Linked DNA regions of Lepisosteus oculatus. The protein of the gene in region 1 interacts with the protein of each later gene in a biochemical or structural test. Links are inferred from orthologs where the notes say so. Each region holds a gene or a part of one and is shown in the gene's direction. Other genes may lie near its edges. The genes, in order: ube2e1, rnf167, prkn and rnf4.

Evidence for each region.
Region 2: the proteins of ube2e1 (region 1) and rnf167 form a complex in vitro, tested with the Homo sapiens proteins (3 studies listed by BioGRID). The link is inferred for Lepisosteus oculatus from reciprocal best matches to the Homo sapiens genes UBE2E1 and RNF167.
Region 3: the proteins of ube2e1 (region 1) and prkn form a complex in vitro, tested with the Homo sapiens proteins (2 studies listed by BioGRID). The link is inferred for Lepisosteus oculatus from reciprocal best matches to the Homo sapiens genes UBE2E1 and PRKN.
Region 4: the proteins of ube2e1 (region 1) and rnf4 form a complex in vitro, tested with the Homo sapiens proteins (2 studies listed by BioGRID, with this or other methods). The link is inferred for Lepisosteus oculatus from reciprocal best matches to the Homo sapiens genes UBE2E1 and RNF4.

The regions. Positions count from the first base shown.
Region 1 is NC_090705.1:30,783,255-30,790,623, forward strand, and holds the start of ube2e1 (ubiquitin-conjugating enzyme E2 E1), read left to right. Parts: upstream 1-4,342; 5' UTR 4,343-4,448; intron 4,449-4,987; exon of another isoform or gene 4,988-5,087; intron 5,088-5,306; 5' UTR 5,307-5,340; coding exon 5,341-5,498; intron 5,499-6,231; coding exon 6,232-6,282; intron 6,283-7,369. UniProt on the Homo sapiens protein: Accepts ubiquitin from the E1 complex and catalyzes its covalent attachment to other proteins. Catalyzes the covalent attachment of ISG15 to other proteins. Mediates the selective degradation of short-lived and abnormal proteins.
Region 2 is NC_090698.1:10,554,037-10,560,920, forward strand, and holds the start of rnf167 (E3 ubiquitin-protein ligase RNF167), read left to right. Parts: upstream 1-3,870; 5' UTR 3,871-4,205; intron 4,206-4,316; exon of another isoform or gene 4,317-4,339; intron 4,340-6,884. Other genes in the region: polyunsaturated fatty acid lipoxygenase ALOX15B-like, read right to left, coding at 171-443.
Region 3 is NC_090712.1:15,389,926-15,396,977, reverse strand, and holds the start of prkn (E3 ubiquitin-protein ligase parkin), read left to right. Parts: upstream 1-4,037; 5' UTR 4,038-4,075; coding exon of another isoform or gene 4,076-4,082; intron 4,083-4,107; exon of another isoform or gene 4,108-4,850; 5' UTR 4,851-4,905; coding exon 4,906-4,975; intron 4,976-7,052. UniProt on the Homo sapiens protein: Functions within a multiprotein E3 ubiquitin ligase complex, catalyzing the covalent attachment of ubiquitin moieties onto substrate proteins. Substrates include SYT11 and VDAC1.
Region 4 is NC_090696.1:6,256,922-6,263,768, reverse strand, and holds the start of rnf4 (E3 ubiquitin-protein ligase RNF4), read left to right. Parts: upstream 1-3,829; 5' UTR 3,830-4,066; intron 4,067-6,847. UniProt on the Homo sapiens protein: E3 ubiquitin-protein ligase which binds polysumoylated chains covalently attached to proteins and mediates 'Lys-6'-, 'Lys-11'-, 'Lys-48'- and 'Lys-63'-linked polyubiquitination of those substrates and their subsequent targeting to the proteasome for degradation.

The DNA.
Region 1 (7,369 bases):
CTGTTACTTTTTCCTAAAAGCTTTACATAAATGCTTCATCACAACATTATTTAACAAGCCCAGCCAGGAATTTTGGACCATTTTTAAACACTTCTATGTATAAGAATCTAAAAACTTTTGTTTCACTCAGATTTACATTGCATTGCAAAAATAGCATTACATTTTGTTTTGTTTTTTATTTTGTCAGGGTTTGGCAGATACAAGCAGCAGTCTAGATTACATGCTAAATAAAAAAGTCAAAACACCCCAAGAAAAGATAACTCCAATTAAGAGGAGCAAATGATCTCAAAATAATTACACATAGGGTTTGTTGACCTCAGAAGGCTGTTATTGTCTCAAAGAAATATGCAACAAAATACTGACTTGTATTTGTATGACTTGTGAATGTGTTGCAGCACCTTCAGTTAAAATCACTGCAGTAAACCAAGGTATTGTTTTGTTTTAATATGTTCGAATGTATGCTTGGAATGAGGCCTACTTCAAAATAAAACTTACAATATATTGTACTTATCATTCAAATTAATCTCTTGATCACAGCTCCAAAACACACGACTGAAAAACAAAAATAACAGTTTTGACAGTGTTGTTGTGACCTATTTGAAGGCACTCTGCTTCAATAGATATTCCCGTGAATAGGTTTTGAACACTCAAAGGGTTTCAAGGATTAATTCCTACTTTTATTTCTCGTGCACTGTGTAAAATGTCATAGCTGAAGTATGCATGCTTTAACAACTGAAAGCTCAGCTCTTAGCTCTTTTTCCAGATAGGCTGGACTCCTTTAGGGAAGAAAAAAACTCTTTGGTACAGTATCCAACAATGACCTACAACCTGGATTTGCCAGTCCAGTGCTTTAATAGTTTCTCTCTTTCCTAGTGTTAATCCCGCATCAGAAGGGTCCGCTTGTTGGCACAGCAGTCTCCGTTTGGTGGTTTGAACCAAATCTTTGAGCAGACGTTGCCATTAACTGCGACCAAGAAATATTCCAACCGGCGCGTCGCTCCACCTGCCGTCGGAATGGAAAGGGGGGGTTCGAGAACAAAGTAATGAAGCCAATTCATAGAGGGGGATTATTAGGAGGCCATGATTGATAAAGGCCGATGGGAAATTTGGCCAGGACGCCGGGGTTACACCCCTACTCTTTTCGAGAAACACCCCGGGAGTTTTAATGACCACAGAGAGTCAGGACCTCGGTTTTAAGTCTCATCCGGAGGACGGCGCCTGTTTACAGTATAGTGTCCCCGTCACTATACTGGGGCATTAGGACCCACATGGACCATAGGGCGAGCACCCCCTGCTGGCCCCACTGACACCTCTTCCAGCAGCAACCTTAGTTTTTCCCAGGAGGTCTCCCAGCCAGGTACTGACCAGGCTCACACCTGCTTAGCTTCAGTGGCCAGTTGTGAGTTGCAGGGTGATATGGCTGTTGGCCATTTAATAGTTTGACAGAAGAAAAAACAGAAACTCTCTCAAGTACAGTATATGATTTCTCAGATTCAACTGATGCTGAAAGATTCTGGGGAATTTGTAGACTGGAGGAACCCTGATTTTTACTGAGTTCTACCAGACAAGATTAATGAATAATTGTTGTTTCTATTTATATACTGCTTTTCATCCCAAGGGATCTTGAAGCATTTTACAATAGTTTCTTCATATTAATTTCTGTCTAGATGTGTTTACACATTTCTGTCCCTTCAATTAGATATTTGCAAAGAGTATACAAATACAGTTTCTTAACTTCAAACCAACTTCCTCTTACAGTGTTTAAAACCAGTAAAGGTTTTTTTTAATCTATTTCCGGGAGCTACAAAGTACAGTATGTTTTATTTGTTTCTGTGATATCTTTACATTTTAGAATTTCATTTTAAAAACCATGATATGAATGCCCATCTTGCTCACAGCTGAAATTTGTCAACATGTTGACTCTCCGTCTTTCACTGCTCCTACAGAGCTCCAGTCCATTACCCAATCTACTGTTCCATCTGGGTGCCCACTCCTGCCCAGGACAGACTGGGATGATACGACCCCCCTCTTCCTGTATTCCCTCACCAGATGTATTATGTAACATGAACGTCTCCACAAGACAGGCCCTGATAAGGCAACGATCCACCCACAATTACTCAGCACACCGTGATATTTGTAAAAATACAGAAGTTTGTTGAGTTTGACTAGTTTAGTAATCCCAATTACAGATTGTGACGCATATAGCCTGTTTGGTAAAAAGAAAATCCTGGGTTTTTTTTTTTGGTTCTCTCATTTTTTTTCTGTTAAGGTGTTGCCAGGCTTTAAAAATCCATAGTATAGCCTTGTCTTGCGTTCCTGTGCTTCTCAGACAGGCTCAGGTGTGCTACAACTATTACCGTGAATAAGCATCTTACCGATAATTAATGTATTTAGAACACTTCTGCAGGACTGTGGATCCTCAAACATTAGTATACAGTAATAGGAATAGAAAAACAACTGACAGTTCTATAACTTTTAAAAAACGGTTTGATCTGCAAACTGTTCTGCTTCCTTCTTAATGACCCTCTGTCAAGAAGGCTATCCAGAAGCGTAGGTGGGTACTGTGTTTTGTCTAGTCGTAGAAGCGCCCTTTTTTTAACACTATTTGAATGAACAAGACCTGGAAGGCCTGGTCACCTTAATGTCTGGGTTATAGGCAGACAAATCAAGGACTCAAGGGGCAGGGTGCAGCAGGGTTTCTCATTCTTTAGAAATCAACATCATCAACAGTTGAAGATCTTTGAAAATTGTTAAATTTGGTGCAGTAAAACGTATGATTAAGAGCAGCCATGGAATAAAATTCCACACCCCTTGTCTAGGTCTTATGACTGAATGTTTTGGTGAAGAGGTTTCAGACTCATTTCCTGTAGGGCCTGATGTTTTTTTTTTCTACTCATGCTCTCATTTATACCAATTGGTCAGATTATTTCATTAACAGCACAATTTTTATACTTTGCTCCTGGCTCTGAGGTGTTTTCTAAGTAACAGTAAGTAAAACATGAAATGTAAATGAAACAACTGTTTTAGTAATCAACTGTAAAAGATTTTTTTAAACTCTAAATATGTAAAATTAAAACAAAATGTTGTGTAATCGGTGCTCAAATTAGAATAAAAAAATGAGAAGACACTAGACCCTCCAGGAACTGACATAATTGGGGAGGGTTTTGTCATTCAAGACATCAGTATAGCAATACTAGTGTATGGCAAAATAAAGTGGTCTTGCTTGTTCTAAACTCAGGACAGATTTGTTTTTGTATTGTGAAGAGAACATTTAAAAGTAAAAAAAAAACGTATTTTATTTTGGAATCACAGCAATGAATAGCGAGGTTAGAATTAAAAACAGGGTCTCATACTCAGTTCTCTAAATTAGACATTTATGTAAATGTTATTGAGGTCTTCTATAGTTGATAAACAAGACATTCACTTCATTTAAGGTCCAGTTAACAATAATCATCTTAGAGCCTGGTTAGAAATATTAGAATTCAGCACCTAGTTAAATCACACCAACAATGTCATCGAGAACGTGGGTGAAAAAAAACTCAGAAGACACGAGTCCCTCCAGGAATTGAGTTTGAGACCCCTGTAATAAGGGATGGAATAACCCAGCGTTGTCTTGCAAACTAATCTGAGACAAGTATGTGGAGACGAGGTCAAAACTGTCACGTCCCACAACCTGTAAAGTAATACTAATATTATAAGGAATAACCGGGGGGAGGGAGGTGGTAAAGTGGTACTGTCATATGTTGTCTTCTGCTTTTCTGTTACGCAGGAAGAATTACACCGCTGGTTAGTTCTTCCATGACATAAAATATCTCGTTTCAGTTTAACGTAGTAGTGTCCAAACGGGGGATTTCCTTAAAATAATTTTCATAGAGTTGCTTTGCCACAAAACTTTGAAAATGTAAAAAAAATAAATAAACCTCCCTACACAGCGCATGCTATTAATTTTGTCCGGAGAATTGCCAAGACCAACAAGCACATCAGAATGATTTGTTGAGGTTGCTTACATGAGAAGAAATACAAATTCTTTGGCTTTGAATTATTCACAACACTATGAGTGATATGCAGCTTTGTATCAATTATTTAACAAATGCTGATTCTCTTGCCCATCCCTTTTTAAAACACACATTCTAAGAAAGTAACACGTACATTAACTGTGGATATCAATGTTGACACGAAATGGTGATATACGTGTATTCGAGTATGCTTTAGGTACAGGAAGGGGTTTAGAAAAAAAAAATAAACAATTGTGGCCATGTGAATACTCAGATCTCGGTTCACATCCAGACTCCCCCACCCCGTGTTTTTCCTTGACATTATCATTTGCGAGCGAGTCCGATAGAATAGAAGCCATTGCCTGTTTAATAGCTGCTGCTGCAGCAGCACTTCCGCTCCGCGAGAGGGGAGAGACACGAGCCCAGGCAGCGGAGTCACAGACACAAAGAGAGGTACCGTTTAAAAGACGAAAATATTCTTTAATGCCAGTAAATACTCTCCTTAACGGCCCCCGGTAGGTCTCTGGCATCGACAGGGGGCCGCCTGTAGAAGTTTTTGCGAGGTTAACGAGGATATTAACCTGTCGGAAAAAGCAGAATGAAGAAAAGGATCCGAGCGACGAGTGGAGCTGAATAGACAGATCGGTTGCAATGTTGAGAGGAGAGAGAAAAAAAAAAGGAGACACTGCTGATATACCCCCGCAAGGAAGACCAGAGGTTAAATTGATCAGTTGGATGAAACCCGTTTGAGATTTTAGGCTTTGGTTAGTTGTTTTTCGGGGTGTGAAGTTTGATCAACTATATGGGGTCTTGGGGACTGAAAAGCAAGTCAAACATTTCCAGAATGGATGCGACGTTGGGGTAGCCAGATACATGAGAGTACGGATATATATCTATCTATTTATCTTTCATTAGCTGTGCGGAGCTGTACCCAGTTCCCAGCTGTGAGCTGGCTGTCTCTGAATTGCTGGGGTGCAGGTAAATATTCATTCCCACTCCGGCGAAGTGTGTTGTTTGGGAGAGGAGCACAAGGCGTTGGGAGGAACGGAGGAGTTCAGGACAGTTGTTTGGCACATTAGTCTCGGACAGAAAGTAAGTTCCCTTGACTTCAGAAAATCGGAGTTTAGGGGGGTGTTTTGCCCTGGCTGCACAACTTCACACGCAGTCTTTAGGAGTGGCGACCGTGAGAAGGTGCAAAGAGGCTGATCTTGGGGGTAAACCCACATGCCACAGGCGTGTCGTCTACCAGTCTTATTTGGTATGCATTTATTTCGGAAGCTAACCCTCGATTCCCTCTGCTCGCCTTTCCAGGTTGGGTTTTTTTTTTCCGTTCCGTGCGGCCGGTATGTCGGATGAGGATTCGAGGGCCAGTACTAGCTCATCGTCGTCGTCTTCCTCGTCCTCCGCTCAACATCAGAAGGAGAAAGAAACAACCAGCAAGAAGAAGGAGAGCAAAGCCAGTATGAGCAAAACCTCCAAACTGCTTTCTACGAGCGCAAAGAGGTAAAGGGGGAATCGGTTGAGGGCTGAGCAATGCCAGTTATCACCGGTCGGACAGCCATTGTATCGGGACAGAAAGAGTTAACGCTTAGTGTGATATTAGCAACCCTTGGCTGTGTGCGATCTAGTTTTCAGGTTAAACACATTTTTTTTTTCCTTGGGAGGACTGCAGTAGCGTCATACGAACCAACTTCGTATTAAGATGTATTTGGAAGCTCATCCACCAGTTCTTAGTCCTGATAGCTTCCCAGCCCGAAGAAAACCACCCCTTCTTTGAGAATGAGTGGGTTTTACTTCGTATTTTTTTAAATATGATTATTTAAATTCAGGCTCATGCTGAAATAACACTTTCTCCCATGCAACCGACGCTTCCTCAGGCGTGTCTCCTTTAAGAGATCTCACAACAAGCTCAGCTATTCTGTTTCAATGGGGAACCAGCTCATTTGCATATTAGCTTAAGCAGTTTATTGCGAAAATTAGGAGGGGGGGATTGGCGAAATTCCTTCGGTAGCTGCTTGTAAGGCGAAGGTATTTTGGCTCCAGGTGAGGGCCACCCGCGAAATCAGTCCAGAAGTGGGTTATTTCATCTTTAAAATATTGGTGAGTAGGAGCTGCTGGGAGCGGCCATGTTTGTTTCGCAGGCAGAGGTCAGCAGCTGTGCCTGCGTGCGATGTAAATCACTGATTCCTTCGGTACCGACTGATCGAGACTAACGAGTGGTTTCTGTTTCCTTCAGAATCCAGAAGGAGCTGGCAGATATCACTCTGGACCCTCCTCCGAACTGCAGGTACCCGGGTTTGGTTATTTTATTATTACGGTTAGGATTTCCCTATCAAGAGTGCTTCCTTAAAGGCGCAGAGCTTGGCTGTGAATTTGTGTCGGCCGACAGCAATCGCCTGGTACGACTCGGGAGATTATTCAGTATTGTGCTGCATCCTTTTTGTGTTCTGGCAAGAGACCGTTAAGGCATAATCAGAGATACTGTGCGAGATCCTCGTAGTCATCTAAATAATTTAGAAAGGACCACACCGGTTTTTTGTTCCCTAAGAGGTGAGCTGTTAAAAAGAAATCGGATTCCCTCTGTGCAATGCAGAGGAATGGGAGAAGGGGTCGGGATTTTCCCCCTCCTTGTGTCATTGCACAGTATAAAGGTTTCTTTTGGCTCAGCAGGGGCAAAAGAGAAATAGACTTTACATGAACGGAAATAGCAGTGATTTTATTTTTGATGGCGTTTGCATTCATCTTACACAGTCACGTAAAGCTGTTTCTTTAAACTTATAATGAGAAAGATGCACCTGTGCAAAATACACTTTCAAATGTGTATTGTCTCTTTATTTTGTGCAGTTGTTTAACAGTTTAATATATCCACTAATACATTATATTTAAAGTATGTTTTCCAAATAACTTTGAGGACATTTCACTAAACCTTTTCAACACCCTTATTCCCATAGGGACTGTTTGTTTTGGGATTGATTCAGTGAATTGTTTTTTTAATTATTAGTATGCTAGTTCTGTGTAAGATTTTAGAGTGTTTTTATGCTGGAAACCTTGCTTGTCATTGGTCAGTGATTGATTGTGTACCTATAACAATTCTTAAAAAGCTGTCTTCATTCAGGCAGTTGGTAACAATAATGAGTTGCATTTATATATTACTTTTCAGCTTAAAGGATCCCAGAGCACTTTCCTTTATAACCAGGGTCCCACTTCATCCTCTACTCATAACCGAGATAGAGGTGTAGCTTTTTTTGCATCACCAGCTCCAATACATTGCAGATCAGGTGTGGAAGACAGAAATTTCTTAAGAGCAGGAGATTCACAAATGAAAGGAAGCCATTTGGACCATCTGAGCTGTTCACCAGTTCTGCTTCACCAGG
Region 2 (6,884 bases), on another chromosome or scaffold:
AGTCTCATCTATCCCCAGGCAAGAGGAGACCGGATATTTTGGTCATCAATGGTATTTTAAGCCACACTATCATGATCTAAGCCCACTCATCCAGACTTGATCTCCGCAAGCCAGAGTGCTATATGAAGTCCCCCTCCAACACCACCTCCACAGGCATTTCCCCTCCTCACCATGCCAGAGGACAGGTCCTGGCCCTCAGTGGAGAGCACAGTGCGCTCGCTCCTGTCCTCGGACCCAACCAGCGTGATGAAGACCCGGTCGAAGGTGCCGGAGTGCACCATGTCACCTGTGGTCACGGTCACCTTGTACGTTTCCATCCTGCTGCTGCTGAAAGACCTCAGCGACAAGAGCATTAATCCCCCCCATCTGTGAGCTTTTATTAAAGGGTCCCACTTAGAACTCACCCTCCACCACTCTCTGTGTAAAGCATCTCTCTTCCCCATATAAACAAGCCTTTCTAACCTCAAACGGCTTCCTCAGCCACAGAATCTGATGCTAGCATTGGAAAGAAGAATGTTGTCTTTTACACAGAGGGCTGCAGGAGTCCAGGGCATGGGGTATCATTCATTGTTGTAGGGGCTTACAATAAAATGAATGAAAATAAACATTTCAAAGGAAGAGTCACTCAAGCCCATGCCCTCCCAGGATCATAGGTGAAGAAGGCATCTATCAGTCTAGATCAGCCCATCCACTAGCACACCTGCAGAAGCTCAGGGGCAGCCAGCCAGCAGAGGAGCTGTGAGCATCGCATCGCTGGCACACGAGCACCTGTACAGACTTAGACACAGAGAGCTCAAAAGTAACCAAGGAGAACGTAAGCATACCCACCTACAGTTCATCCACCCCCACCACAAAGCTGGAGGCCAGCAGCTTCCCTACAAACCAAACCACAACACAAACAAACTGAAAAACCTGCTCTCAATCTGCTTTATAAATGTGCTTCACCCGCCCAGCTGTGTCAGACCCACCTGGACCCAATTAGCACCTGATTGTGCCCGTGATGTCATCATTCCCACGCTGACCTGTAGACAAACAGCCCTAATGAGGATCTAAGTGCAATTATCTCACAGGGAAGTGGGGGATTGAAGCTGACCTCTTGCATGCTGTTATGACTCAACGAGCTGACCAGGCATTATGTATGATGTATTTACCTTGTAATTTGGACCATCTGCACTTTGCACTATGTTTATCCTGTCTACAATGTCTTTGTCAGTGTCCTGTCTGCCTGTATTTTCACCTTGGACGAGGAGGAACGATATTTCCTTCCACTGTGTACTTGTATACAGCTGGAGTAAATAAGCGTGAACGTGAGGCACTCACGAGGGGGTCGAGGAGCCTTCTTCAGCTGTGTCACGTTGTGTCTCTTTTGCTTGGAATAACAGGTTTGCCTGTTCCTTTGCAGCCCATGCATACTTACGCATCTCCCTCCTCCAACTTTTGTGTGTGTGTATGCATGCATGCATGCGCGCGCGTGCATATATGTCCACGTGTGTTTATGTGTGTGCATCTGTGCAAGGGTGTTTATGTGCTCATGTAGCTGTGAGTGTGTATGTGTGCACGACTCAGACACAACACTGAGCTCGGAAGGGAGTGAGCACCAGCCAGCGTGGCTGACTCAGGTCAGATGGGCAGCAGGCCAGGTGGACACAGGAAAGGACAGAGAGAACTGCTGACCACAAGGTCAGACTGAAACCAGTTAACCCAGGACACAGACCGCAAAGACCTGGTTCACCCCAAGACAGCAGATGCAATAATTAGAACAAGAATCAGATCTCTAGCCCAGTTTTATTGAGGGCAGCGAGTCCAGCGGCCAGCAGGGGGCAGTGCAGCTGAGCTGGCAGCTCCTGCCAGAAGTGCTCCAACTGTTTCAGTGGTGCTTCCTGGTCCTCCTCCTCCTCCTCCTCTGGCGCTTCACACTGGACCTCCTGACTCGCCTCCTCCTGCGCACTGGACGGGACGCTCGTCTTCGCCTCTTGGCCATGTCTGCGGTCTGCCCGAGAGGCGGCGCTGTGCCCTTTTTAAAGCCTCCGGGAACAGGCGCTGGGCGGGTGCCGGCTACGTCTCGCGTGAGATCACGGGGCCGCCCCTGTTACCTGACGATGACGTCACCGCGCGTGGCCTTCACGAGTTTTTCAGGGATTGACACGCGCTAAACGCACAGCACCAAAGGCAATTTATTTACCAAATTGAATACAATTTGTTTTCATAGAGAACATTAACAAGAATGAAAAATACTAATAAATAATAAGGAATTCGTTTTTTATTATCCGCTCGTTTTCCAACTGATTTATCCAACACTGTGGCGCACATTATTATTATTATTATTATTATTATTATTATTATTATTATTATTATTGTTGTTGTTGTTGTTATTATTATTAGCCTTTATTTGTCGTATGTACATATACATTAGAATTCTTATTCGCGCCGATCTCTCGGCACATGCTCGGTCCAGCAGATGGCACAGTACGACAGACAACTGTAGTACAGCCGTGTGCGTGGACAGTACATTACAAAACGGTACAGAATAGTTATAGTATGTACGGACTATCAACAGAGCAATAACTACAAACAGAGCAAAAGTCTCTCGTTTGACAGAACTGTCTCGCCTGTAGCTCTATTAGTAGTACTAGTTCTATTAAAAAGAGCCCCGATATGAGGAGTTTTTCCAAGCACAGTAAAATAACCCAGCACGTTGCGCCACAATGTTAGATGCGGAAAGGCGAACGGACTCTCTCTGCCCGCTTGCCGGGGTGGGGGTATCTGTTCAAGGACCGCTCCGAGATGTTCCTCTTTCCTTTTGGTCTTGTTTGGAGATCTGGCGAGTCCGTGAATAAACACATCATGCCAGGAAAGGCTATTTCGTTTTGTACAGGTCAGGGCTTCAAGGCTCTTCTGCAGCGTTGTCCGGTGCTTGTAATGCGAGAATCTCGCCACTAGAGGTCGCGGAAAACCGATCTCTTCAGATCGATAACAATACCGTAATGGAGCAAAACACCTCGACCAGCCTGGATTGTTTCACACTCGTACATCACTACTGCCATGTCTCTGTACGCCTTCCGCAGGGTATGGATAAATCAGTACTTCAGGGAGGAGAGCCGTAGGCTCGTGAAAAGACCCCCCCTCCTCCGCCTGGTCCTGATATCTGGCCCCCGTGTGTGCGAGAGCAGCACAGCTGTAGTGGACAGCACGCGTCTGGGGATCCCCGCAGGAAGAGCTGTCCACAGAGCCAGAGGGGCAGGCGGGCGCTCCGAAATAACAGCTTATTATTTCACTGAGACACGCAGCCCCCGCGGAGGCTGAGCACGCAAGTAACTTAGACAAATGAGCCAGGTCTGACGCACCATATTGATCGCACTTAGTAGGTCGCCGAATATCACGGTTAGCGACAGCCAGGCGATGGCAGATGCGATCTACTGATCGATGATATATTGGGCAAATGCCTGTAACCAAGGCGATTTACAACCACCCGCTCGTTAGTAAATAAACAAAGCCGTATGAAAAACAGAAACCCAGTACCATAATATACTTTCGCCCATTTTGACGGTGAGGCTAAATCTGTTTTAATATAGCTGCTCTGTCTTTCTGGAGGGTATGAGTCCAACACAGAGACACGGAAAGGGGGAATTTAGGACAGACACTGGTAGCTGAACTTGCGTGTTTTTAAGGCAGTGGAGCGGAGTCCACACGGGGAGACCATGCAAACTCCCCACCCACGGCCACTCAAGATCAGAAATGAAACGGGGAGCAATGTCAGCCTCTGTCTGCTGGATCAGCGCGAGAGAGCGCGAGGGGGGGTGATTGCCGACCGATCTGTCTACGGGTCCACGCGGGGTGAGGGGGCGGAAGTGATCTCCATTCTCACCGGCTTCCCCCGAAAGGGTTAACGGGCGTCCAGATAACGCGAGGCCCGGGATGTGGGCGCCTCCATCTTGGATTAGGCCAGGAAATCCAGACACAGAGATCCGTCGCCTGTAGCTACGGCCCTGCTAGCTAGCTAACGAGCGAAACAGAGATGGGGGGGATGTGAAATCTTACGTAAACACACATCGTACTTTCACACAGGAAAGGCTATTTTCCGAAACAAGCACGCACGGCAGACAACTGGAAGTTTTTTCCCCGCAAAAACCTTCAAAATAATACGGGAAAAGCGAGACCGAAACAGATTTGTCGACTTCAAACGACTCGACGACTGTAGTTGAAAGGTAAGATCCGAAACCGGAAGAAATGTATTTTTATGGTCAGCACAATTATTATTGTGGCGATGTGCACGGACTGCTCTGTCGAATGTTTTAATTCTGGTTGCACACAAAAAAACAACAACTCTTCAGTCTTGAAGGTGCGGTACTTTATTTTAGTCCCTGCAAAACGAAAAAAGTAACACTCTTAACTTAGGTAGCTAGATCATTGACTTAATATTAATTTTTAACATTATTTTGAACGCTCTGGGTAGCCTGCCTATGTGTGATGCATACCACTGCGCAATCGACTGGCCGTGTTGAGCAAAAGGGTTATCAAAAAGTAAACAGGCTAGGGGCTTTTTAAAAGTGGGTTTTCCGGTTCTGGACAAGATTAGAGACTTTGTTTACACCGCGGTTTGATGTAGGAGCCGTGCGAATGCATGTTAGCTGATAAGGTAAAGCCAGCTATTTGTGTAAAATGTGACTTATTGTTCACATTTTGTCCTAGCAGCTCGGTTGCGAGAAGTTGATAAGGGGGTGACTGTTCTTGTGTTTGTTTTTCTAACTGTGACACAGGGCACATTCTAGAAGAACATAAAGTGTCCGACGAGAGCAGCGCCGTTCGGTTAGTCCTGATCGTTTGGTTTTCTGAACAGCCACCCGGGTCCGCGGTGATCACTGGAAGTCTGGCTTCTGTCACTGTAGGGTCTTTGCTGTTAGTGACATTATTACAGTCCAGGTCACTGTGGGGTCCTTATTGTTGGTGACATTATTACAGTCCAGGTCACTGTGGGGTCCTTATTGTAGGTGACATTATTACAGTCCAGGTCACTGTGGGGTCCTTATTGTAGGTGACATTATTACAGTCCAGGTCACTGTGGGGTCCTTATTGTAGGTGACATTATTACATTACGGGTCACTGTGGGGTCTTTACTGTTAGTAATATCACAGCCCGGGGCACTGTGGGGTCTTTGCTGATAGTATTATAATTATAGTACAGGTCACTGTGAGGTCTTTACTGTTAGTATAATTATCATGGTATAAGTCAGATAAAGCTAACAACATCCAAAATGTGTTGTGTTGGCCCTGTGTTCAAAGATGCATCAGGTTGTCAGTGTTGTGATCATAAAATGTCAGTGTTGTGATCATAAAGATGCTTGGATGTGGTGTGCACTAGACAGGAGTGAATGAACTGAGAGAAACGCTGCGTGTGAAGAGTTTGTGAGCGATCACTAACTCTGGAGTAAACTTTAACAGTGAATTCTGGGATTCGGCTTTGATTCTGAGTGGAGAAGGGTTAACTGCAGTGTCCCTGGACGCACGGTGGACAGGTGGGATCAGTAGCCCTGATCATGGGGCAGGCCATCCCTTGGCCAGTCTCCTTTCTGTAACAGCACAGGCAGCAGTGCTCTGCAGATGGCGAATGGGAGGTGCTTCTTTACACCAAGTGTGGTGGGTGTCTGGAACAGGCTGGGCTGTTCAAGCAGGTTCCTGGCAGAGCCAAAGTGGCCTCTTCTCGCCTGCGGCCTTCCGTGTGTTTTCGTGTTGGGGGGGGAAACAGGTCTAGCAGGGCTGCACCCTGATCTTCCTCCTGTGGTAAAGAGACACCGGCAGGAGAATTAGGTGCCAGATTTGTCTGAAAGGTATTTATACAGCAGTTGCCTCAGGACATGTATTAACAGAGTACTTTCACAGTGTGAAAGTGTGTTAGAGACCGGAAACCTCTGTCCCATCAAGCCACCCATTGACTCGAGAGCTGAGTGAACCCACGGCACCCCAGCTTTTACACATGGGCTCCCAGTCATGGTCCTGTAGGACCCCACACACACCTGCTGGTTTTCATTCCAGCTAAATTGTAACCTTAATTGTGCTGACAAGTTGGTAGATGGGAACACTTGCAAGTTTTTTGAAGGGTTGCTCACAGAATTCATGGGTGAATAGGTGACTTCCAATATATTTTAGAGCTGAAAACGGAGGAACAGTTCGAATCAGTACTTTTATTTATTCAGTCAAGGGGTCGATTGTGTCACGGAGAGCTCAGCTGTGATTAGACCCAGTGTGTGGACCTCCAGAACCAGGACTGGGATCCGCCGCAGGTCCAGGAAGCTGGAATTCTGTGTCTTCTGATTAATGAGGTCTGCTGTCACTTGGAATGGGTCTGCTCCCGTGTGCCGGCACTACACGCCCTTCTGGGCACTCTTGGGAATCTGCCCTGATGCCTCCGAAGCTCCTCGGATCCTCACTGGCAAGGTGGTTTGTCAACATCCAGAAGGATGACGGCAGATCCAGGACGCATGTCCGACTGGGGAAGGAACTGGGCGTTCAGACAGCGTGCAGTGGGCGCAGCTCTGATGGTGTGATCAGGGCAGCTGCGGTGGCGTCCCAGTCAAAGTCCGAGCCGGTGCAGAACTGATGGGGAAGGAGCTCTGGGGACCCCGACTCCCCCGAGGGAGCCCTAGAGTCGAAGGGACGGGGCACGGAGAGGGCGAGGCGCCAGGCCCAGGCCCTGCTGCTGTGGGCCTTTCCTTCCGTCTCGGCGAGCTTCTGTGTTTTGAAAGTCACCATGAAGTACGTAACGTCATGTGAAGTGTCAAAGTGAAATTCCTGGGACTCTTTCGCTTCCAGTAAGTGACCTTGTGAAAGAGGAAGGGCTCAGTGCACTCTGGGCTCGAGGCCAGCTGCAGCCAGACATGTTACGCTCTG
Region 3 (7,052 bases), on another chromosome or scaffold:
AGTAGTACATACAGTAGCCTTAAAGGTGTGTTGAATCAAAAACAAAAACAGCAGAACTACCTGTACTGAATCCATATCACTGTCGATTGAACATAAAACAATTGAGATTAGTTATGGCACAAGGTTGGAAATTGTCACTAAACATAACTAGATTGCAATTATTATTTATGTTGAGAACTCTCCAATAATGTAAGATAGAATTTCATTAGCCAGAGCTCCCCAGTGAGTCATATTTGCCAACACATGTCCAGAGTGGAATGGAGATGAACAGTTGGCAGAGCTGCTCAAAGAAGTCCTTTAAACTTACGAAATTTTAATGTTCGCCTGGGAGCAATTTACAGGTTCAAGTGTCCATATTTGCTGAAAAATACTGCTGCATAAATAATGCCTAATGTACTGCACTTATATTTTTTCAGTGCTGTTCACTTTAAATTCAGCACTAAAAGAACACTGAAACTCTATCACTACAGAAAGATCAAAGATATCTGCATCTTAGGGAATGCTTTATACTGTCCATTACATACTCTGAGCTTTTGAATAATGTGCAAATATGCTTATCTAATATTGGGCAAAAAAGTAGCAGAGGGTGGCATGAAGCAGTTACATGAAAGTATCATCCTCACTTGTAATGTTTTAAACAAGGATGAGCTTCCATAGAGAAAACAACCTTTACACTTCCTAGTAGACTAAGCATGTTGTTCATGTCACTGAACCCTATTCTTTAAAAAGTCTATGCTTTGTCTAATCTCTTGGCTCAAAAAACAAAAAATGATTTTCAGTTTTCACAACTTTATTTGAGCATGATTGAAACAGACCCTGCAAACAGCTCAAAAAACATTTGGAAATCCAGAACAGAATGTTACCTTCCTTAACCTTTTCCGAACAAGGTTAAAAAAAAAAACTTAGAATGTTCTTTTATTGTAGAATTATTGGAACCTGAAAGCTTGGAACTAAGTACAGTGTTGACCCCTGGGAGAGAGGGGGGTAAATATTATAATCTGTCATTTTACTCATTAATATGTAAATTGAATCATGTTTAGTCAATCATCTAACCCTGTAACTTTGGTTGTAATATGCCACATCACATTTGAAGAGATGCAGAAAACATTACATTGATGCATTTTCAATTTGAATATTAATGAAGTTTACAGCATCTACCAGCCCCAATGCTTTAAATAGTCTACATGTTTAAAAAGCTGCACATAAATCTCTCTAGAAAGACTAATAGAAAAAACAACATAATTATGTAAATTAACTCTTTATACCCAAGACTTTTTGCATTTATCCTAAAATCATTACACACCCAGGGTGGCAGCAGGTCCTCATTTTATTTTTGCCAAGATTCCTTTTGCTTAAAAAAAAGAAAATCACTGTTGAACACACAAAGACCATGAGCACATGACTGGACTGTTATCTCAAAACTGGTTTAGGACTCACTGGATATCCAGTACTGATGGAAAGCACACATTTGTAGGGTATGAAAAACTGCATTCTAAAAGTATTTACTTGCCAACCGTCAATGCTTAACGCATTAAGCTTCCACAAGACAGAAACAGAAAATCTAAATGAGGCAGGGCTTCTATGATGTGCATCTAGAAATAATGCTACTGCATATGAATTTTATGTTTGAATTTGTATGAATCTAAAATTAAACAATAAAACATTATAAATGAAAAAATAGAACTATTTTTCATACCCTTACTTCCTTGCTAGTGTACAGTATGTAGGGCTAAATACTGTATTTTGAAGCAACTTATTTACAACTGCGAACATACAGACATATAGGGTTTAGTATAGGATTACTATACTAAAGTATAGTAAAGACATATAGGGTTTATCAGAGTTGGAATCTTGAGCATTTTGATGTACAGTAAAACGGCACGAAGCTGCTAGAATTTCCAAATACACTGTAAGCAGGAACTGAGAGCCAAAACACACAGGTAGTGTCAATCAATGTATAGTTCACATAATAAGGTGCTGGATCACCACATGAAACCAGTATGGCCTGTATGCATCATCACATAGAGTGTACACCATCTGGAGTTCTGCAGCAGGCATGGAGCACCATTCTTCCATGAGAAAGCCTGGCTGATGGAAGTGAAAAAATGCTCTGGAAAAATCCAAAATATCTCATAAATGCTCATTTGTGTTTACAGTATTTCTGGTGAGTGAGAAGGCCATGACATACTTCATACTGTAACACACATCAGTGTACAGCTGATTAAACTATTGGGAGACCACACATGCTCAGTAGATGTGGACATTGCCATCAGGTAGATGCCCCCCATGAAAAAAAAATGCTACATGGGGTGAAGACGATCACTATTAAGTAGCCAATAACATCTACCTTGCCTTCGAAAGGAACAAATACACCCAGACCATCACAGGAATATTATTATAGCCCCACAATATTATAGAACCACCAGAATCCTTTACTGTTGGAACAAAAAGCTCTACAATCCTTGAGTGCTTGAGGTTGTCGAGAACATGAAGGATAATTCCTCTAACCATATCACATCTCTCCACTGCTCAGCAGTCCATTGCCTGTGCTCTTTGTACCACTGGACGTGCCAGGAGTGAGGAGTGGTTCCTGCACTGCAATCCACCTCTGTACAGTGTACCACTTTGAGGAGCTCTTACAGACCACCTTTGATTAAACTGGATGCTTGCACCCCAGGTTGGCATTTGCAGTCAGATCACCTGCTGCGTAATTGCTTGGCTTCGTTTGCCCTGCACTCTGAATTTAAGCATGGATATCATGATTATAGTTTGTGCTTCCACTTACTGTTGCGAAATCTCAACCAGTTGAGCCGTCTTGGTCACCGAAGCTCCTGCTGTACTCACCTCAACAAACACACCTCTTTCAAAGTCACTGTGCTCTCACAGCCAGAATTCCAGAAACCAGGCCCTCCTGTTTTTATGCATGCCTCTAAGCGTGCTGGGATGCTAGCTGCTTAATTAAAGCATGACCAGAACTGAGTGGGAGACCTTGCTTTCAATATCCATAGTGTTCCCCCTTTGCTGGGTATTTCCATTGTTTCTGTCCAATACCTGTATATTGCAGTTTGTCATTTTGAAGTCCTCCATAACACCTGGAGAGTTAGCAAACTGTTCTAATTTGCACCAAATCGGGTGTCGTGTAATTTGGTCAATTGTTCTCATATACTGAGTTTTACAGACATACCTGGAAATACTAAAGTTAAACAGAACACAAGACGCATTATAAAATACCACCGGCGCCCTTCCTTAAATTACCGCTAGAATTGATCTTCGACTAGCTCGACAGCAAAACGTCTGCTACGATAGCAGGAATCTGTTAAGCACATGCAATCATTTTCAATCATTACAATAATGTATGAATGATTACAGGGAAACTGTACTCACTCGCCAAACTGCCGAAGCAAAAGCAACTTATCCCGAAAAAGCACAACCAAATGAAAAAGTCCCTTCTCTGTTATAAGGCGAGATTTTACATGTGATTACCAAATACACAAATTTTACTTAGAAAAACGAAAAAAAGTTCCAGGCTATAAAAAACGGCACCATACATTTTTAATTATAACAAAGAGATCTCTGGTTACGTACAGTTAGAACTGGACTGGCAGCGATGCACTCGCTCGCACCGTTTTCAGGGTCCTTTCTAAGTTTTAGTTCTAAGGTTAGCAGTAAAAAAATAAATTCGTGAAATAAGACGACCAAACCGTCAACTCTTGTTTAATGACCTGAATTCTTCGTTTTGTGCAGAGACTGACCTACCCAATTAAATAAGCACTCGGTCACAACCAGAAGAAGCATGCTATAAAATACATAAAACTCAGTAGTTGCTTTCAAATAGTAGTAGCAGAAATCATGACAGCAATAATAAATTACGTTTGTATCTTGTAAATCGTTGCACGAAAACGTTGAAACAGAAACGGAAAAAAAGGGCACTACATTTCCCAACATGCTTCAGGGACCATTACACGTGCGCTGATGCAGTGTGACCTGGGATGTCGTAGGCCATAGCCTTAAATACAAACAGAGACGTGTGCGTAGACTGTCAGTGTCACATTGTCAGAGACTGCGTCTCTTCAGCATGATAGGTATGTGACTCTGGTGATACTGTGTGACGTGTCTCTCTTGATTTCTCTTTTTCTTTCGAAATAAGAAAAAGTGCATCTAACCTGTAATTCAGCTTGACGACGGGAGATGGTAAATAGTGGCTTGCAGTTCATGATCCCAGCTATAGAAATCAGACGCTTAAACGGGGAATAGTCCCCTCAACTCCGCATTCTAATCTTAAAACTATACTATTATTCTGAAGAAAATGTATAGTGCATGACACCATTGCATAATTAATGCTGCTTTTCATTTCCCACTCCGTTGTTTATTACTTTTTTGTTTAAATTGGTTGCTTATCTACAAATAAGCCACGAGATACCTATTAAATCCTGAGACATTTCACGCAGCTTTTGACAGAGGTTAGTTGAGGGTATCACGTGATCTCTCGGTGGCTCTTTTTTTCTGTGCACTTCTCATTATTAGCAGGTGTTGTGAATCGATAGGATAATGAGCGTTTTTAATTACGTGCTATTGCTATTGCACATAACTAGGTACGTAGGGGAAAGTATATAGCTTTAAATTCCCCATACATTCTTGTCATTCTGTACAAAAGACGCAATGAAAAAGATTCAGTGCACAATATTTATGTAGTGCCTCTTAATCCCAGTTTTAGAGAGACTGTGAGAATTCTTAAAATCTGAGGCAGTGATATGATTAGTCATCAAATTGCAATTTGAACATTATTAAAATACTTATAAGCATCTGCAGAGTGTTTCCCTTGTAGGAACAGTGTTAATTTCATTATGAAGGCTGTAGCTGGCATTGGGGTTACTGCAGCATGGAGCCAAGAGTCTGACATTGTGGATGAGCCCTTGCTTTTTAAACAAGGTGGCAGTTCTGACACTGAAAGGTGTTGAGGAGAACACCGATCGAGGTAATATATCCCACCATCTGTTTTCGAGCTGCTTCTTCCAGTTCAGGGTAGCTGGAGCCTAACTAGACAAGCAAGGGGCGCAAGGCAGGGTACACTCTGGACGGGACGCCAGTCCATTGCAGGGCAGACACACAGGCACGCACGCAGTCACACCAGGGCTAATATTCTCAAAATATACACATGTATTTTTGGACTGTGGGAGGAAACCGGTGCAAACTGGAGGAAACCCACACGAACGCAGAGAGAACATACGATCCCTGCACAGAAAGTTTGGAATTCAACCCCAAAACCCAGCACTGCAAGGCAGCAATACTAACCACTGCGGCACTGGGCCACCCTGAGCTCATAAACAACATATTCAAAATCTTGAAAGCAAGCTTCTGGCCAGGCAAGGCCTGTAAAAAGTGTTGACCCAGAGTTCTGAATTAAGCCAAAGAGACACAGCTGTACCATTTTCCTGTCGAATGTACCCATTTCTTTTTCTATATCAAAATCTCAAGGTTAACTTGATTCAATCTCCTTGAACCGTGAAATTCGTTAGCAGAACTGTAGCAGGTCTTTATGTGAAGTCAAAACACTTCATATCTTGTGTTGTTTCCAGAACCAGTAACTTTAATAGAAACTTTATTCTAAACAGAACAATAATAAAAAAAAAAACAATTTTTCATGGGATTGGAAAAAGAGCTTGTTCAGCATTTCAGACAGGATACTCCTTTTTTAAATGGCTAAAGGGGAAATACAATATTTGATGGATTTTAGTTTTTTTTAGGATGATATTGAAGCACTAGTGTTAGGGCAGACAAACTGTTTAGCCAAGTGGAATTTTCTGTGCTGTTTATATCTTTGTCTGTTTGGCTTAATCTCATGTCAAATCTTTAGTTAAATATAGCTCTTTATGTTTAAGATATGCTTCCAGTACAGCTGGAAACCTGGAATTTCATCAACATTCTGTATTTTGCATCTCTAGAATCTCTGGAAGACCTATCACATTTATTTTAGGTACATTAGGCCAATAGTAATAATATAATTAGTAGCAGTTGTCTGAACTAAGAATATTCTATGTGATGTGAGATGTGAGACTGTATTTTCTGTACATTTTATTGTGACTTACAGTATAAAATCAGACAAAATGTTTTTTAGAGTTTCTAAAAATCCTAATAGAAGAATTCCTAAAATTTCTGACGTCAAGTACTGTATAAAACCTTTACCACCATAGTTTCAGAAAAGTAAAAAACAAATCTAGATTTTTAATTAGTTAATTGCAAATCACTTGCCCTGAAGCTTGGAGTGTAATTCAGTACATTACCTTTTTTATACAACATCTAAAAGTAAGATTTTCCCAAAGATGTTCCTTAAACTCTGAGATTGAGCCATACTGCAGTATTTATATACTGTATGTATAATCCTAGTCTCTAATAAAACGACAAGTTTATCCCCTTGCATTGAAAACTTGTAGTTTTGTGAGAGTGTGGCTCACATTAGCTGAATGTTTCCATGTTTATTTATAGCTTTCAGTGATCTAAAGCTCTACTGATTGGAGCTGTGTGAATAGTGGGCAGTATAACTAGGAGCTCATTATCAGTGTGTAACCCCAGCCACGTATTGTCAGACAAGCAAGTAATAATAAAAACCTAACCAGAGCTCCAGAGTTACAGTTTGGTTAAATTGTTCCATCAATGTGCGTGCAGGCATGTTCATCTGAGAGAACAATTGTCGATATTGTTGTGGCTTTGACAGGCTATGGCTATCTACAGTACCACTGTACCACTTGGAAGAATGAGCCAAGGTACTAACATAAGTGTGGCAATTGAGAAGGAGGATAGGGAACTGGGAAAGGGCTGCATGTTACCAGTGTCTGAACTTAGGTGGACATATTGAAGAGGCAATTCTGCTCTTTACCACATATTAGTGTCGTGGTTTTTAAAGACCCCGGGGGATGTTGCTTGTTACAAAAAGGCACTCCGGTAACATATTGATTTCCCTTATTAGTCAATCAACCACCGATTCATATTCAGTAACTCCTTTATCCTTAAAGGAGTTAGGTGAACCAGAGTCTGACCCAGCAAAAACAGGATGT
Region 4 (6,847 bases), on another chromosome or scaffold:
GCAGGTCTCAAGCCCTGGAATGTACCTGGCCTCTTTTCTCTGGATTACAGAGCAGCAACGTCTTTGTACTAGTAAGACCTCATTTAGAATAGTGTCTGTGATTTTAGTCTACACATGATAGAAATGTACAATTTTCACATAAGGAACCAGTAAAGGTTTATTCCCTGCTGAAAAGAGCAGAAAGGAAACACAATGTTTCAGCTGGGGAGCCTTCTTCGGGTATGTAGGCTCCATGGGTTAAACCAAAACATTGTGTTTCCTCTCTTCTCTTTTCAGCTGGAATAAACCTCTTACTTGTTCCTTTGCAGCCTACACATGCCAACGCCTCCACCTACTTGAACTTTCTTAACACAATGTCCTTTGATTTAAATTCAACCCTTTTAATATATGTCCTTATATTTTGTTTGCCTTTTTAAAATTGCTTCACCACGTGGTCTATATGTAAAAGATGTGTCAACATAAACACCTAAATCTTTTTTTGTAGCATCTTATAGCTCAGTGTTTCAAGTTTTTTATTAATAGTATGTGCTTTGTTTTAATAGTATATGATTTTACTAGGAACAATAGGTTTATTCTATGCTGAAAAGAGAAATAAGAAAACACAACGTTTCAGCCGTGGACCCTTCTTCAGGTGTGACTACTTGCATATAAAACCCTGCACAATTCTTCATTAAATATCATCTGTCAGGTGTTTGCCCAGTCTTTACAGATTAGTGTTTACTAATCATTCCCTTGTGGTACTCTCTGCGAAGCTGACTAATTCACTACACACAGCAGTATCTGGATCATTGGTATAAATGGGGAAGATCAGTGACACTAGCACAGGTCCCTGTGGTACACCGCCTCAGTTTGAGCATTCACTGTTTATCTTTATACTCTCTTCTATATGAACAAATTCTCCATCCAATCACAGATGTTTCCCTGAATCCTATTACCTGTAATTCAACAATAAATATTTTATGAGAAACCTTATCAGGATCCTTCTGAAAATCGAAATACCCCATGGTGTATGCTCTGTGAGAGTTCATTGTCGCTTCTTCAAAGAACTCTAACGAGTTGGTTAAGCAAGATCCACCTTTTCTTAATCCATGTGAACTATTCCCTAGGATGTCATTTCCATATAGCTGATCCTGTACTTTAGTTCCAATTGCTGTTTCCATAACCTCACACAGGCAAGGCAGTAGACATCAGACATTGGCCTATAATAATAAAAAGGTAACAGTGTAAAACAAAGCAAAGCAATATATTGTTATAACAAAGCAACATATTGTTACAAAGCAAACTGTGAAATGGGCCCTGTACCCTTAACAAATGTTGACATTTTCTCATGAAGCTGCAGAATTGGACTGGCGCACTCTGAGTCAAGTCCCTCTGGGATGGAACAGGATAAGGACTGGACAGTAGAAAGCTGTGCAGCAGGTTCAGGAGTCACAAACCCTGCTGTAGCGTGTTTGTGTGTGGTGTAGAATGTGTGGAGTTAATTAAATCTCAACTTCCTCCTCTAACAAGGGGGTCCTAGCTAAAGGCTGATTCAGAGCTTTATACCGGATAATGGGTGCAAAAACAATATTCACCTTGTTACATAGCCCATTCAAACTAAGAAATGCACCGTATAATCCATCCATGTGTTAATTTCCAGTACCAGCTTTAGGCTTTGAGGTGGAGTCTAACCCTGCTGAAACTGGGTGTAACGTGGGATACACCCTCGAGGGAACACCAGTCTATTATAGGGCATGCCCATGGGGGGGCTATTCAGAGTTGCCAATTACTCTGGGGGAAAAGGAGCACCCAGAGAAAGTGCTGAAGGACATGGGGAACTCCGCATGGAACCAGCCCAGAACCGGACCTGGGACCCTCGAGCTCAGAGGGAGGTGTATGACACAGGCTGCGTATGACACAACGGGCCGGGGTGCACAGCAGTCACACAGCTTTTCCATCACTCGTCTGTGCAGGAGCAGCACTGGCCTCTGCAGGTGTTTCCAATGGACTGTTCCTACTTATTCTCAGCCACTGGCATGTGTAATCTGCGGGTTTAAAATAAGCAATCGGACATTTGTAATTTAATTGCTTGTGCTCGTGCTTTTTAATGCCCTGAGTCACCGTGTCACCATGTAAGATCTTTCTGCATCGGGAGATTTCAGCTTGTGGTAGCATGGCTGAGAGGATCTTTACACATGAACTCCACACCAAACCCTGCTGTTCTGTTACAGTCTTGGTGGGTTCCTGGCTTTATTTCAACTACAGTCTGAGCAACAAAACAAAAACCCTACCTCATACACGAACAAAGACATTATTCCTTTTCACTGGAAACAAAACTAGAAATCTTCCCTCTGTCCACTGCCCTGAAAGCAGACACTTCTCGTGAACACTTCAGCTGTGGCAGTGGCTTCCTCAGATCCAAAGAAGCTGCACCTTGGAGAAAGGAGCATTAATCTTCCAGAAGGTGATTTTATTCTCCCGGTAGGTTTGCGAGGTCAGGAACGGTTGTAGTATGATTTATTCCATCCATTTTCTAGCCGCCTTGTCCAATCCAGAGTCACGGGGCAGCTGGAGCCTATCCCAGCAAGCAATGGGCACAAGGCAGGGTACATCCTGAATGGGTCGCCAGTCCACCGCAGGGCAAACGCCCCCACACACTCACACCAGGGCCAGTTTTTCTAGAAGCCAGTTCACCTACCAGTCCAGCTTCATACGGTGGGGAGGGAACCAGAGCTTCCAGAGGAAATCCACACGAACACGAGAAGAACATGCTGTAACGCTACAGGGGTTCAGGGGGGCGCCCTTGCTGCATTAGGTCGGCCCCCCACCATCGCGGGCTCTAACCCAGGACTTCCGCGTCACTCAACAGGGACCCAGCCCGGTGAGCCAAAGAGAGATCTCTCCCCAGCCCAGTAGCTGTAGTCCTGCTATCACAGGGAAGGGCGGTGACGTCACCTGCTCTGGTAAGCCGGCTCTTACACAGTACCTGTCGGCCGTAAGCGTTACAATGCAAACGCCTTGCGGATGGCACTCCAGGAATCGATCACGGAGCCCCAGCGCCACTGTGCTGCCCCTTGAGTTATTCCCATTGTCACTGCCTCTATTACTCCAGACATCCCAGAGTTCCTTCAGGAAGCACGTGGAACAGGACTACACCTAGCACATAGTGCCAGTCCATCACAGGGCAGACACACATGGCACAGAGACCCCAATTACCTTAACTGGGTGCAGCTCTGCCCTGCGATGATTCCACCATGGCTACTGGAAGGGGACACTGCGCCCCCCCATGACAGTGGTGAACCCCAGCTGCCTGCTGTGGGAGAGTTCTACACCATCTGGGTTTCAGGGGGGCGACGTCTATCGTCACCCGAACAATAATAAAAAAATCTAAAACAGCCGCGGCTGCTTATGTACGCCTTTCTGCGTCATTTTACAAAAGGCTATACATTCTAACGGATGTTTTTACTATTCGTTACCATTATCTCGTAACCCAGTCAAGCGAAGTCAGTCTTTCCAGTTATACTCCTCCTTGATTTCCTTTCCCTCGTACCATGCTCGTTAGTGTCCTAAGCTTTTGCGAGTTCAAAGCAGGTGTTCGGTCCGTACAGATGTTTTAACCATATAACCGAAAACGCACTCAGGTGAAAGTTTTCCTCGCTGCTATTTTTCCAATTTACCTACTCCAGCGGACGTCATTAAGAAGCCTTAAGGAACTACACCGCGTCACTCATTTCCTGTTGTGAAAACTACAAATACCAGAGTGCGCCCGGATGTACGTCATATTCCCTTGAACAAAGCTCCCGCCTACCGATTGGCTCGTTACTCTCTGTCTGACCAATCACAACGCCGCCTGGGTTAACGGATCTGCTGCCGAGGTTACTTCCGACTCGAGGAGGAGCTGGATGATCGGAGTGGAGAAAAGAAATTGAAGGGGATTTTGGTTTATTTTTCCTCAGTGCATTCGTAGTAATTCTTATTGTTTCATTTCTTTCATATTTAAGGTGCGCTTCGCCAGATAGAAGCGTTGCAGTAAAGCTGTCGATAACCCTGATTTCTTCCTGACTGCTGCTGTCCGAGTATTTTCGTGGTAGGTTTCGGTTATTTGGCTAGTTTTTTTAATCGGCTTTTGTTAATTTTACCACACACCATAGCCCTGGCTTTAGTGCTAATATGGGTAATATGGTAATATGGATAGTATTTACAGCTAAAATAATTGTTATAATGCCGTTAAAAGCATTTTGAGCACCATTTCATGTTGGAGGTTATGTAACAGTACAGCGGAGTTGGTGTACCAACACCTATTTCAGAAACTCCTCTACAAAGCATCAACATCTAATTATTTAATCCACGATGGTATAAAGCACTTGGCTGTTGTCACCCATTCATTTTCTCGACCATTTTGATCATTTCTCGAGCTATGATTTGTGTCTTTATCGGTCCTTAACAAAAGAGGATTGCTGCTGCTGTTAAACAGAAGTTGAAGAGCTTTGGTAATCTCTGCGAATTGCTGCCAACCGGATCGAAGGCCTCAGTGGGCATTAGTCATATAGATGCCATATTTGTTTTCGAATCCCGTGTATAATCTAACTATTTTGTCTAATAAAAGATACAAGATCTGTATTTAAGGGAGATATGCGTTAGTTAGGAGCTTTATATCAATAAAGCGGTATTCTTTCGGTTTGGACTAGTCAGATTACATAGTCTGTTTTCAAATGTGGTGTTGGCACAGGTGTTAATGCCTCTTGTATTGCGACTTAACTTCCACGTTAGCTGAACGTCTCTTGTTAGCGCCAGCAGCATATCACCCTGCAGCTCCCAGCTGGCAGCCCACTGAAGCTCAGCAGGTGTGAGCCTGGCCAGTACCTGGATGAGAGAACTCCAGGGGAAAAACTAAGGTTAATTAATAATAATAGTTCCTTACACTTATATAGCGCTTTTCTGGACACTCCACTCAAAGCGCTTTACAGGTCATGGGGATCCCCTCCACCACCAATGTGCAGCCCCACCTGGATGATGCCATAGTGCACCAGTACACTCACCACACATCAGCTCTCAGTGAGGAGGAGAGCAGAGGTTGCTGCTGGAAGAGGTGTTAGTGGGGCCAGCAGGGGGCGCTCACCTGATTCAACTCTCAATGGGAGTAATAGTAATAGGAGTAGTTTGAATGGTTTCATTGCTTTCAGTTTGACAGCTGCCCTTTAACTACTGCATTTCCTAAGTAAAATTCCTAACTTATGAGAAGGAAAAGAAACCTGAGATTGTGCCAGTGGAGCGGCTTGTTAGTCCTGTTAAGGTGTCAGCAAGGTGATTAACCTCCGCTGGAATGACAACCAGGAGGCGTGCGCACCTCCAGGATCGGGATCCGTTGGTTTACAGTAGGTGGTGTTTTTTAAACCACAGCACCCACCATGACTGTAGTAGGGTTTCTTCCTTGCTTTGCTTTTTCCAGGTTGGTATGATGGACTAGTTCATCACCACCACTTCGGCAGCAACGCGATTTTCTTTAAAAACATTCTCCCATCCTAGTGTCTGCTCAGGAACCTGTGAGCTGTGACACGTTCAGGTTTAAGGGTGGTTAAGGGGGTGTGCTGGTGGAAGGCAGTTATGGGCATCTTGGTCTTTAGTTGTACTCATCGTTGCATGAGGTGAGTCAGTCAGGAAATACTTGCTAAAGCTCGGTAAAGCACGTTGTGCTGTTAACCGCTTCTGCAGACTGTGTTCCCCAGTGTCTCACAAGATAGGAGGTAAAAACCGTGAACGACTGAAATATTTGAGGAAACTGCCTGGTAGTTCTGTAGGTGGTGTCTTTTACCTTTTGGGGTTTTAGTTTGTCAAATTGCTGGATTGTAATATTATAATGATAAATTCTTGCTAGTTGTTGGGGGTTATGTTCTTTAAAGTCCCCATGAACCACAAATCCATGAAGATATGTTATGGTTTGGTACCTCAACTCCGAACTGTCTTCTTGCCCTTTGCTTGCAATAATGATCGGTCGTTATACTTACTAAGTTAATTTGTCCAATATATTCAATATATTAGGATGGGGTTTTCAAAAGACCTAGAAATAAAGCCATAAATGTAGCTTAGTTTGCCCAAATGAAATAGTATGCTTTGGGATGCCTAATTCATTGATGTGTTTTCCACCTCCATCAATTAAGCATGATTTGATTTACTTTCTCCTGGAAGAATGGTGCTGCATCTCTCCTGCAGAGTTCCAGAGGCTGATAGACTCTGTCCACTCACTTGATGACTTTGGTGTTTTCATTTATCTGCTATCTGTATCTGAAGCCGACTCATTGATTCATTATTAGTGCCCAACTCTTCGCTCTTGTTAATTTGTCCGGTCAATCCGCATTTATGGACAAGATGTAAGACCAGTCTCTGCCTTTTTTCACCAAGCTTTTCTTTCAGATGGCATTGGTACTCAATACTGTAAATAAACACCTGCTAAAGAAATGCATAGCACTGTATTGTTATAAGAGTGGAGTTAGTGGAGCAGAGAAAAACATGCGTGATGTCTGCATGTACTGATTGAGCCTGCTGCATTTTGAGGTCTTCATGCACTCTGTGGGCTCGCAGACCCTTGCTTATAGTTGAGCTTGTGTGTCGAGAGAGGAATACCTAAGGATGGAACGGCATTAATATTTCCATAACAGACGCCTTTATCCGGTTCCAGTGTGTGCAGTATTATTATAAGGGTTATTCTCATGTACACAAGCTGTAAATCTCCTCCAGCTGTTTTCTTCACCTTTTGTTTCTCGCTTGGCTTATGCCTGACCCTGCCTCAGTTTGTACAGATACTTCTGCTTGAACCTTTTCAGACATTGGCTTACTCTGTTAAAATCCAGCCTCCACTTCTTTTTAATGT